2 linked regions of the Callithrix jacchus genome follow. The protein of the gene in region 2 binds, or shares a complex with, the protein of the main gene of each other region. Links are inferred from orthologs where the notes say so. Each region holds a gene or a part of one and is shown on either strand. Other genes may lie near its edges.

The links.
Region 1: the proteins of BANF1 (region 2) and EMD are in contact, whole or in part, in a crystal structure (PDB 7NDY), measured with the Homo sapiens proteins. The link is inferred for Callithrix jacchus from reciprocal best matches to the Homo sapiens genes BANF1 and EMD. Residues at the interface, in NP_001137457.1 of Homo sapiens: Arg37, Phe39, Gln48, Val51, Leu52, Lys53, Asp55, Leu58, Glu61, Trp62, Asp65; in NP_000108.1 of Homo sapiens: Pro22, His23, Gly24, Pro25, Val27, Ser29, Thr30, Arg32, Leu33, Tyr34, Lys36, Lys37, Glu40.

The regions. Positions count from the first base shown.
Region 1 is NC_133524.1:150,171,617-150,175,897, forward strand, and holds EMD (emerin), read left to right. Parts: upstream 1-1,477; 5' UTR 1,478-1,610; coding exon 1,611-1,692; intron 1,693-1,816; coding exon 1,817-1,924; intron 1,925-2,072; coding exon 2,073-2,150; intron 2,151-2,363; coding exon 2,364-2,497; intron 2,498-2,932; coding exon 2,933-2,979; intron 2,980-3,060; coding exon 3,061-3,388; 3' UTR 3,389-3,795; downstream 3,796-4,281. UniProt on the Homo sapiens protein: Stabilizes and promotes the formation of a nuclear actin cortical network. Stimulates actin polymerization in vitro by binding and stabilizing the pointed end of growing filaments. Inhibits beta-catenin activity by preventing its accumulation in the nucleus.
Region 2 is NC_133511.1:123,078,825-123,082,811, forward strand, and holds BANF1 (barrier-to-autointegration factor), read left to right. Parts: upstream 1-1,404; 5' UTR 1,405-1,909; intron 1,910-2,102; exon of another isoform or gene 2,103-2,230; intron 2,231-2,573; 5' UTR 2,574-2,589; coding exon 2,590-2,712; intron 2,713-2,964; coding exon 2,965-3,111; 3' UTR 3,112-3,482; downstream 3,483-3,987. Other genes in the region: putative RNA-binding protein EIF1AD, read right to left, coding at 202-310, 448-534. UniProt on the Homo sapiens protein: Non-specific DNA-binding protein that plays key roles in mitotic nuclear reassembly, chromatin organization, DNA damage response, gene expression and intrinsic immunity against foreign DNA.

The DNA.
Region 1 (4,281 bases), on a different chromosome or scaffold from region 2:
CCTGGCCAACATGGTGAAACCCCATTTCTACTAAAAGTACAAAAAGTAGCCAGGTGTGGTGGCATGTGATTGTACTCCCAGCTACTAGGGAGGCTGAGACAGGAGAATCACTTGAACCTGGGAGGTGGAGGCTACAGAGACTCAAGATTGCGGCTCTGCACTCCAGCTTGGGTGACAGAGCGAGACTCTCTCAAAAAAAAAAAAAAAAAAAAAAAAAAAGAATATCACCTCTTCTCCATTCTCCGTAGGGCAGCCCTTATCTGATCAAGGTCCTGGGAATCCTAGCCACAGTCCAGGCTCCTGAGCAGGCCTTGGCAGCCCTTCCATAGCTCGACACCCACGTCTGCCCCCTGCCGGGCTATGCTGGGCTCAGGGGCCATTCCGACAGAAGAGGAAGCCCCACTTCAGCTCCCGCCAGTGCCCCGGGTGAATGAACGACATGAAGCGTTAGGCTGGACACACGTCATCTCTGCACACATCGCACAGCGCCCTCTGTCCGCGCTCACTGGCGTGCTCGCTGGCTTGCCCGGGCCCCTTCGAAGGCTGCTTGCTCCTGGAGTGCCGGCGGCCTCCTGGCCCAGTGCCCCATTTCCTCCCGGGTGGAGCGAGGTAGGAGAAAAGGAAGGAGGGAGGCGGTGGGAAGCAGCGAGCATATGTGCACGGGCGACAGCCCTGCAGACTGGGAAGGTGGGCCCGTGGCAGGGGGTCTGCGAGGACCGCGTAGGCGCGGGCCTTGCCCCACAGCCGCTTCCCAGGTGATGCGCACACAAAGCTCCCTCAGTAGTGCCTAGCCCGGGGCCGGCGCTCCCTTAGGGTTCAGACCCTTCCCGCCGCTGCTGGGGCGGCCGACCCGGATGCGGCCGGGGAATCCTACGCCCTGGGGCCACGGGAAAGGGGACCAGGGCGTAGAGAAGGGATGTGCTGGGACGGTGGGGAGCCCAAGTGACTTAGGGACCAGAGCCACCGCTAGCGCCCACTTAGGCCGCTCTCACTTCCCGGCCGGCAGATGCCGGGTGTTAGACACACAGGCCCCGCCCCTCTCTACCGACTGGCTCACGCACGCCTCAAGGTGACGTCTAGGCTCCCAGCCGCACCGCCCAGACTCCCGTGCGGGCCCCACCCCCAACAGCTCCGGGCGTTAGTGACGTACGGACTCGCGACCCCGCTCGCTCCCACCGCGACACCTTCTGCTCCGCTCCCGCGCGGGCCCCGCCCCCTCCATCGCTAGCCAATCCGTGTGTTTGTGACGTTGGGCTTGCGGCCCCGCCCACTCCCACCGCGAGACTGATTCCCACTGTCCTGACTCTCGGCGCGGGCCCCGCCCCGTCCGCCGCTAGCCAATCCGTGCGTTTATGACGTTTGGACTCACTGCCCCAGCCTCCCAGCTCCCAAGGCCCGGCCGTTCTGCGCCTGCTGCTCCCGCCGTTAAGCCCCTCCCCGCACAGCGCGCGCAGCCTGCGGAGCCCGAGGCCGTGACGAGACAGTGATTTGGCTGTGACGCGAGCGCGATCGCTCCCGAGGCGCTCGTGCCGCCCCCGCCGTGATCCTCGGCAGCCGCTGCTCGGCGGGTTTTGGCAGGGGCCCGGCTTCCGCCCGCGCCCGCACCCGCCATGGACGACTACGCGGGTCTTTCGGATACCGAGCTGGCCGCCGTGCTGCGCCAGTACAACATACCTCACGGGCCAGTTGTCGGTACGCGGCGGCGGGCAGGACCTGCCCCCGGGCCCCCTCCCCGCGCTCTGCCCCGCGCCCTCCCCGCCACCCTACCCGCGCGCCTTCCCCGGCTTGTGGCCCTGACCGCCTCGTGTCCGGCCAGGGTCTACTCGTAAGCTTTACGAGAAGAAGATCTTCGAGTACGAGACCCAGAGGCGGCGGCTCTCGCCCCCCAGCTCGTCCGCCGCCTCCTTCTCCTATCGCTTCTCTGGTGAGAGCCTCGCTTGTGGGGACCGGGCCTGGGATGCGGGGAGATCGGGGTCGCGAGGGTGTGGCAGGGGCGCCGGTCGAGAGCGGCACCGGGGAGAGGGGAGGGAAGCCTGGGGGGCAAACAGTTCTGTCGCCTCCCTTCAATCCAGACTTGAATTCGCCGTCAGTGGATTCAGATATGTATGATCTTCCCAAGAAAGAGGACGCCTTACTCTACCAGAGCAAGGGTAAGGCAGGGGTGGGGTGGGCACGCTGGCACGTTCACCTGACTGCGTCAGGGACCCCGCTCACAGGGAGGACCTGAGACCTCAGCCCCAACCACTCCAGCAGCCTTAGGAGGGAGAAACTGTCACAGGTCCCGAAAGAGATTCAGATTAGGGCCAGCAGGCCAGGTGGGGCACACCGATGCCCCCTCTGCTACCGCTGCCCCCCTTCCCAAGGCTACAATGACGACTACTATGAAGAGAGCTACTTAACTACCAGGACTTATGGGGAGCCCGACTCTGCGGGCCAGTCCAGGGGCTTCCGCCAGTCTGCGACTTCACTCCCAGATGCTGACACTTTCCACCACCAGGTGAGCTGGCTGGCAGGTGCCCTGTACTTGAGTACAATCTAGGGGATGGCGGCTGTGTTTGGATAAATCCAGGGGGCCACTGGATACAAATGGTGGCTTCTGTGCTTCTGGGGAGACTGGCTCAGCAGACGCCTGTTTGGCCAGGTCCCTACTTTGGGGAGCCATCAGAACTGTGACTAGAGCACCCTGGTCTGCAATCTAGGCTCAAGCTTTTCCTGAGACTCCTGGGGGCAAAAGGGAATAGCAGGGCATGAGCACAAGTGACAAGACCCCACAAACAAAAGACTGAACACCAAGAGCCATTCGGGAGGGTGTGGGTCCCTGGCCTCTAACCAAAGGTCAGAGGGCACCAGCTGGGGAAGTTTGGACTGAGGGATGTGGCAGGGCCATGGTGGCCCTGCCAGTCGGTCCACTCACCCTGACTCTCTTCTGCAGGTGCGTGATGACAATCTTTTGTCTTCTGAAGAGGAGTGCAAGGATAGGTACGTAGAGGGCAGGCCCAGGAACAGGGACTGGTTCTGCACCCAGGCTCCTGGCCCACCTGCTCCCCTCTTTTGCCTCAGGGAACGTCCCATGTACGGCCGGGACAGTGCCTACCAGAGCATCGCGCACTACCGCCCTGTTTCAGCCTCCAGGAGCTCCCTGGGCCTATCCTATTATCCTACCTCCTCCTCCACCTCTTCTGTGTCCTCATCTTCATCTTCCCCTTCATGGCTTACCCGCCGAGCCATCCGGCCAGAAAAGCATGCTCCTGGGGCTGGGCTTGGCCATGATCGCCAGGTCCCGCTCTGGGGCCAGCTGCTGCTTTTCCTGGTCTTTGCGATCTTCCTCTTCTTTGTTTACTACTTCATGCAGGCGGAGGAAGGCAACCCCTTCTGGAGGGAGCCCTGAGGGTCTGGGCTTCAGAGCCAGCTCTTCTGGGGAAGTCCTGGCTGATGGCCTTAGCAGTGAGGGTGGGGGTGGGGGTGGGGGTGGGGGCTTTTGTGTGTGTTCTCGCTTGGGGGGCGCTGGCCCAGCCCAGAGTAGTGCTTGCTCCCCTGCCTTGTCCCACCAGGGAGGCAGCAGACTCAAGCCCTCCATGATCTGGGGGACCTGGGTGTGCTTTCCTCTCTAGCCTCCTGGCCCTGCTTGCCTGTAACCCTTAGGGTCCAGGAGGGCAAGGCCTCGCTCCATCAGAGAACATGGTTATTGTTGTTGTCATGCATGCCTCCTTTTAGTTGTCATCTTGAGGGGATTAACCAAAGGCCACCATGACTTTGTTTTCGTGGACACACAATAAAAACCCCATTTATTTTTAATGTGTTGACTCTTCCTGGAGGAGAGGGTTGGGTTCCCATGGCAAGGGCATCTGGCCTTGCTGGGTCTGCATTTTGGCTTTGGTCTGGGGATAGGAATCAATTGCTACCCAGAAATGTTTGTGTTTTGTTTGGGAGTTTTATTCCCTGACTCATTCCCCAAAGCACGTGTAACTGCTTATACATATAATTGTGGTACAACAAGGTATATACAGAGAACCCACTTGGAAATTCAGGCAAAGCTGCATGCACGCCACCAGCAGTCTGCGGGTGTTTTAACTGGAAAAAGCTGAAGTCCACCCGATTGTCCAAAGGCATGGGGACAGAAAGAAGATGAGGCGTCTCATTGGCAGATCATCCTTGGCTCCTGGAACTGCTGCTTGTTTACCATGGGAGAAAAGCTCCAAAGGCCGCATCATCCCTGGGTGGTAGAATTCACCTGCCTATATTCTCACTTAACTCCCAGATTTTCTGCCCTGGGTATGTATT
Region 2 (3,987 bases):
TCCACCTCCCAGGCTCAAATGATTCTCAGGCCTCAGCCTCCTGGGTAGCTGGGATCACAGACACGTGCCCAACTAATTTTTAATTTTTTGTAGAGACAAGGTCTCATTATGCTGCCCAGGCTGATCTCAAACTCCTGAGCTCAAGCGATCCTCCCACCTCAGCCTCTTAAAGTGCTTGGATTACAGGAGTGATCCTCTTACCTCTCTTGATCCAGATGTTCTTGCGGTATTTGGAGGGCATGCTCACAAGGAAACGCTGCCCTTGGGCTGTCTCCACCTCATGCAGATTGTTCCCTGGAGTCCTGAGTACCTGGTTCAGGAGAGACCAGGAATCAGCCTCATCAGTCAGATCAAACACCCTCTCAGACACACTGCACCCTACCCCTGCCCCAGGGGCCCTACAGCGGTTGGGGGGGAGCAGAGCAGCTTGTGCCCAAAGCCACTCACCCGAACAATCTGCTGCCGGTCAGAGGGCACCATGTGCTCCCCCAGCACCTCCTTCACCACATGCTTCCTCTTGGTGGCCTGAGACATGCTTAAGTTGTCCCAGGGTACTTAGAGATGCAGAGACTGTCAATTCCTCCTCCTGAGTTCCTTGGACGGCAGGCTCAGAACCCAGGACTATTCTGAAGATGGGGTGGAGCTTTTTACTGAGGAGTGACACAGTGTCTTGGTTAAGAATATGGGCTCTGAAGTCTTAACTGCCTGGATTCAAATTCTACCTTGGTTCATTTCCTAACTATTCAACTTCTCTAGGTCCCAGAAAAAATAACAGCTAACTCAGCATTGTTACAGAATGGGACAACACAGTGCATGTTATATAAAAGTAACTCCTGCAATCATAACTACTGGTATAACATAAAACTATACACATGCTCCAGAGAAATCACCCTGGCAACCTCTCTGGAAGGAGTCTGAGATAAACCATATCTTTCTCAACACGTTTGTACACCCCAAGTCTAGCACAATCACACAACAGAGAAGTTCAGTCTGGCAACACACTACAGCCGGAGACAAATTAGGTGGCCACCGCGACGGTCCAAGCCAGGAACTAGTTAACGAAAGGTGGAGGTGAGCAGGCTTGCCTGCGACATTTGCATGTTTGACTTTCTTACTTAGAAGACGAGGGCCAGACTGACGGTTTCCGAAGGAAACATCGATATGTCATATCTAGTTGCCGTCCTCCTTCCTCCTCCCCGTCTATCCCGGAGAAAAGACCCTCGGAAAAAGACCCACACTTAAGTCTGTGGCCCTCGGCTCCCAGGAACGCTGCCTGAGCAACCCCGCTGTCCAGGCCGGACGCTGAGAGAATTGTCCGCGACTCACTTGAAGGCTGAGCCAAGAAAACACAGTAAAGGAACTTGCTGACGGCCGCGACGGTAGCGTGAGCTTAAATCCAGGTCTCCAATGTTTTCAGTTCCCTCCAGTCCCACTGCTAGGAGGGTGACGTGAGTTTGAGTCGGATCTCTTCGAAAAACTGTACTTCCGGCGCTGTCTCGGAAGCCTCCCGGCCACCCGTCCCCTCCCTTGTCCGTTCTTCCAACTCTTCCCCACGCCAGTCGGTCAAGCCTAAGTCCTTGAGTTCCGGGTCCGGGCAGCAGAGAAAGAAAATCCTTTCTCTGGAGGCCTTTCTTCCTCGAGTAGCGGGACCTTACAAGGCAGCAGGACTTCCCGCGAAGGACCGGAAAGGAGGACCTACTACAGAGGCCGTCGAGGTCCGGGACGCCTCAACTCTATAGCCCTAACTGGCTAGAAGTGCCCAACGTGGAGGGTTTTTTTTTTTTTTTTTTTTTAAAGGACGCTCTTGAGGCGACCCGGAAGCGGAAGTGGAAGAAAGTTCTAGTGGCTTGAGGTATCGGCGGGAGCGGCCGGGTGGCGGGAGGAACCGTTACGGGAACTGAAGCTGCCGGTGAGCGTCAGCTGCAGAGCAGGGCCCTGGCTAGAGGCCAGATGGGTTGCGAGGAGAATGGGATGAGAGGGGCCGCAGGCGCTGGGGTGGGCCCTTGGGGAGAGCTTAGCCGCGCTGCGGGGAGGGGGCGGGGCGCGGCGCGTGGGAGCCGGCCCGCGGGAGGGGGCGGGCCGCGGCGCCGCGCGATGGGGGCGGAGCTGGGGCGCGGCTTGAACCCCGCGGGCTGGAGGCGAGTGTGCGGAGCGCTCGATTTGCGCTTCGCTCTGTGGGTAGAGAGACCCTTTGGTTAACTTTCCATGCCAAGTGACCGGTCCAGACAGGGTCAGTGCCTTCTTGGCTCAGCCAAGGTCACAGAAGGAGTGACAGCTTCTGGGCGGCCCTGGCTACTGACTCTGGGAATCTTTCCACTTACCCGTTTGCGCCACCTGTTAGGCAGGATCGTTTTTCCTCTGGGCAAGATCAAAATCCAGGTCCTGCAGGAAGAAACTTCTCTTCAGAATAGTAGGGAAGGCTCCCTGGACCTCAGTTTTCTCCTTTTTTGATGAGGGATATCGAGCAAGCCACCATAATGCCTGGCTTAGCTTCCTCTTACTATGAGATTGCTAGTGGGCCCTTAGGAGTTCCAGGTCTTCAACCCTAACGTGTCTTTTTTTGGGATTTCTAGATTAAGCCTGATCAAGATGACAACCTCCCAAAAGCACCGAGACTTCGTGGCAGAGCCCATGGGGGAAAAGCCAGTGGGGAGCCTGGCCGGGATTGGTGAAGTCCTGGGCAAGAAGCTGGAGGAAAGGGGCTTTGACAAGGTGTGGGGTGGCAGCGTGTACCTGGCACAGGCTGGGAGTGGGAGGGAAGTGAGTCCATCTGCTGTGGGGTGGGCGGTGGGGCATAATCTGAAGAGACTGCCAGAGCCTGGGCACCTGGTAGAGAGGAGATGGGGGCAAAACCCGCCCTGCTTCCTGGGCTTGTGTGCTCTGAATGGCACGGGAATGACCGATTTACTCTTATCCCTCACTGAACACTGAGCAGTATGCCCCTTCCTTTTCTCTGTCTCTCAGGCCTATGTTGTCCTTGGCCAGTTTTTGGTGCTAAAGAAAGATGAAGACCTCTTCCGGGAATGGCTGAAGGACACTTGTGGTGCCAATGCCAAGCAGTCCCGGGACTGCTTTGGATGCCTTCGAGAGTGGTGTGATGCCTTCTTGTGATACTCTCTGGGAAGCTCTCAATCCCCAGCCCTCATCCAGAGTTTGCAGCCGATTAGGGACTCCTCCCCTGTCCGCTACAGAGGAAAAGATTGCTATTGTCGTACTCACCTCCGATGTACTCCAGGGTCTTTGGGAGTTTCCTCCCCTAACCATTTCAACTTTTTTGGATTCTCGCTCTTGCATGCCTCCCTCTTCCTTTTTCCCTTGCCAGTTCCCTGATGACAGTTACTGGCTTTCCTGAATGGATTCCTGGCCCTATCCCTCACCCCCACCCTCACTTTCAGTCCGTTTGATACCATTTGGCTCCTTTTTTGGCAGAACAGTCACTGTCGTTGTAAAGTTTTTTAGATCAATAAAGTCAGTGGCTTTCATGACTGGGCTTTGTGCATTGAAAAGCAAGTGGGCTGGGAGTTGCCTCTCCTCCAGGGACTGACCACGTCTCCCCCTCTCCTTATCAGTACAGACCGAAACCGGCAGCTTCCCTTCCACTCCCAGAGGGCAGCCACCCTAGCCATGTAGATCTCAGGCAGGTGACTTGGAGTGTCTCAATCCCCAAGTGATGTGGGAGAGAGTGTGGGTGGATCTTTTCCTGGGAGCCAGATGGACTGTGCTCCACATGTCAGTTAAGTCAACAGCTGGGCTAGGCAGCACCTGGTGGAAAAGTCAGTGGGAGTCAGAGGTACTTGACAGAGGGTGGACCGGATGCGGGTGCGAGTTCACCTACCAGTCATCATATCTGCTTTCCCGGCCTCTGGCAAGGGTAGGTAGGGGGCTTGCCATCTTCCCTGATCTCTTAGGGAGGAGAAAGAGCACAGGCATTACAGCTGGAAGCATGAGAAGGAAGTACACCTCAGTGCATTTTAGCCCTTTCTATTT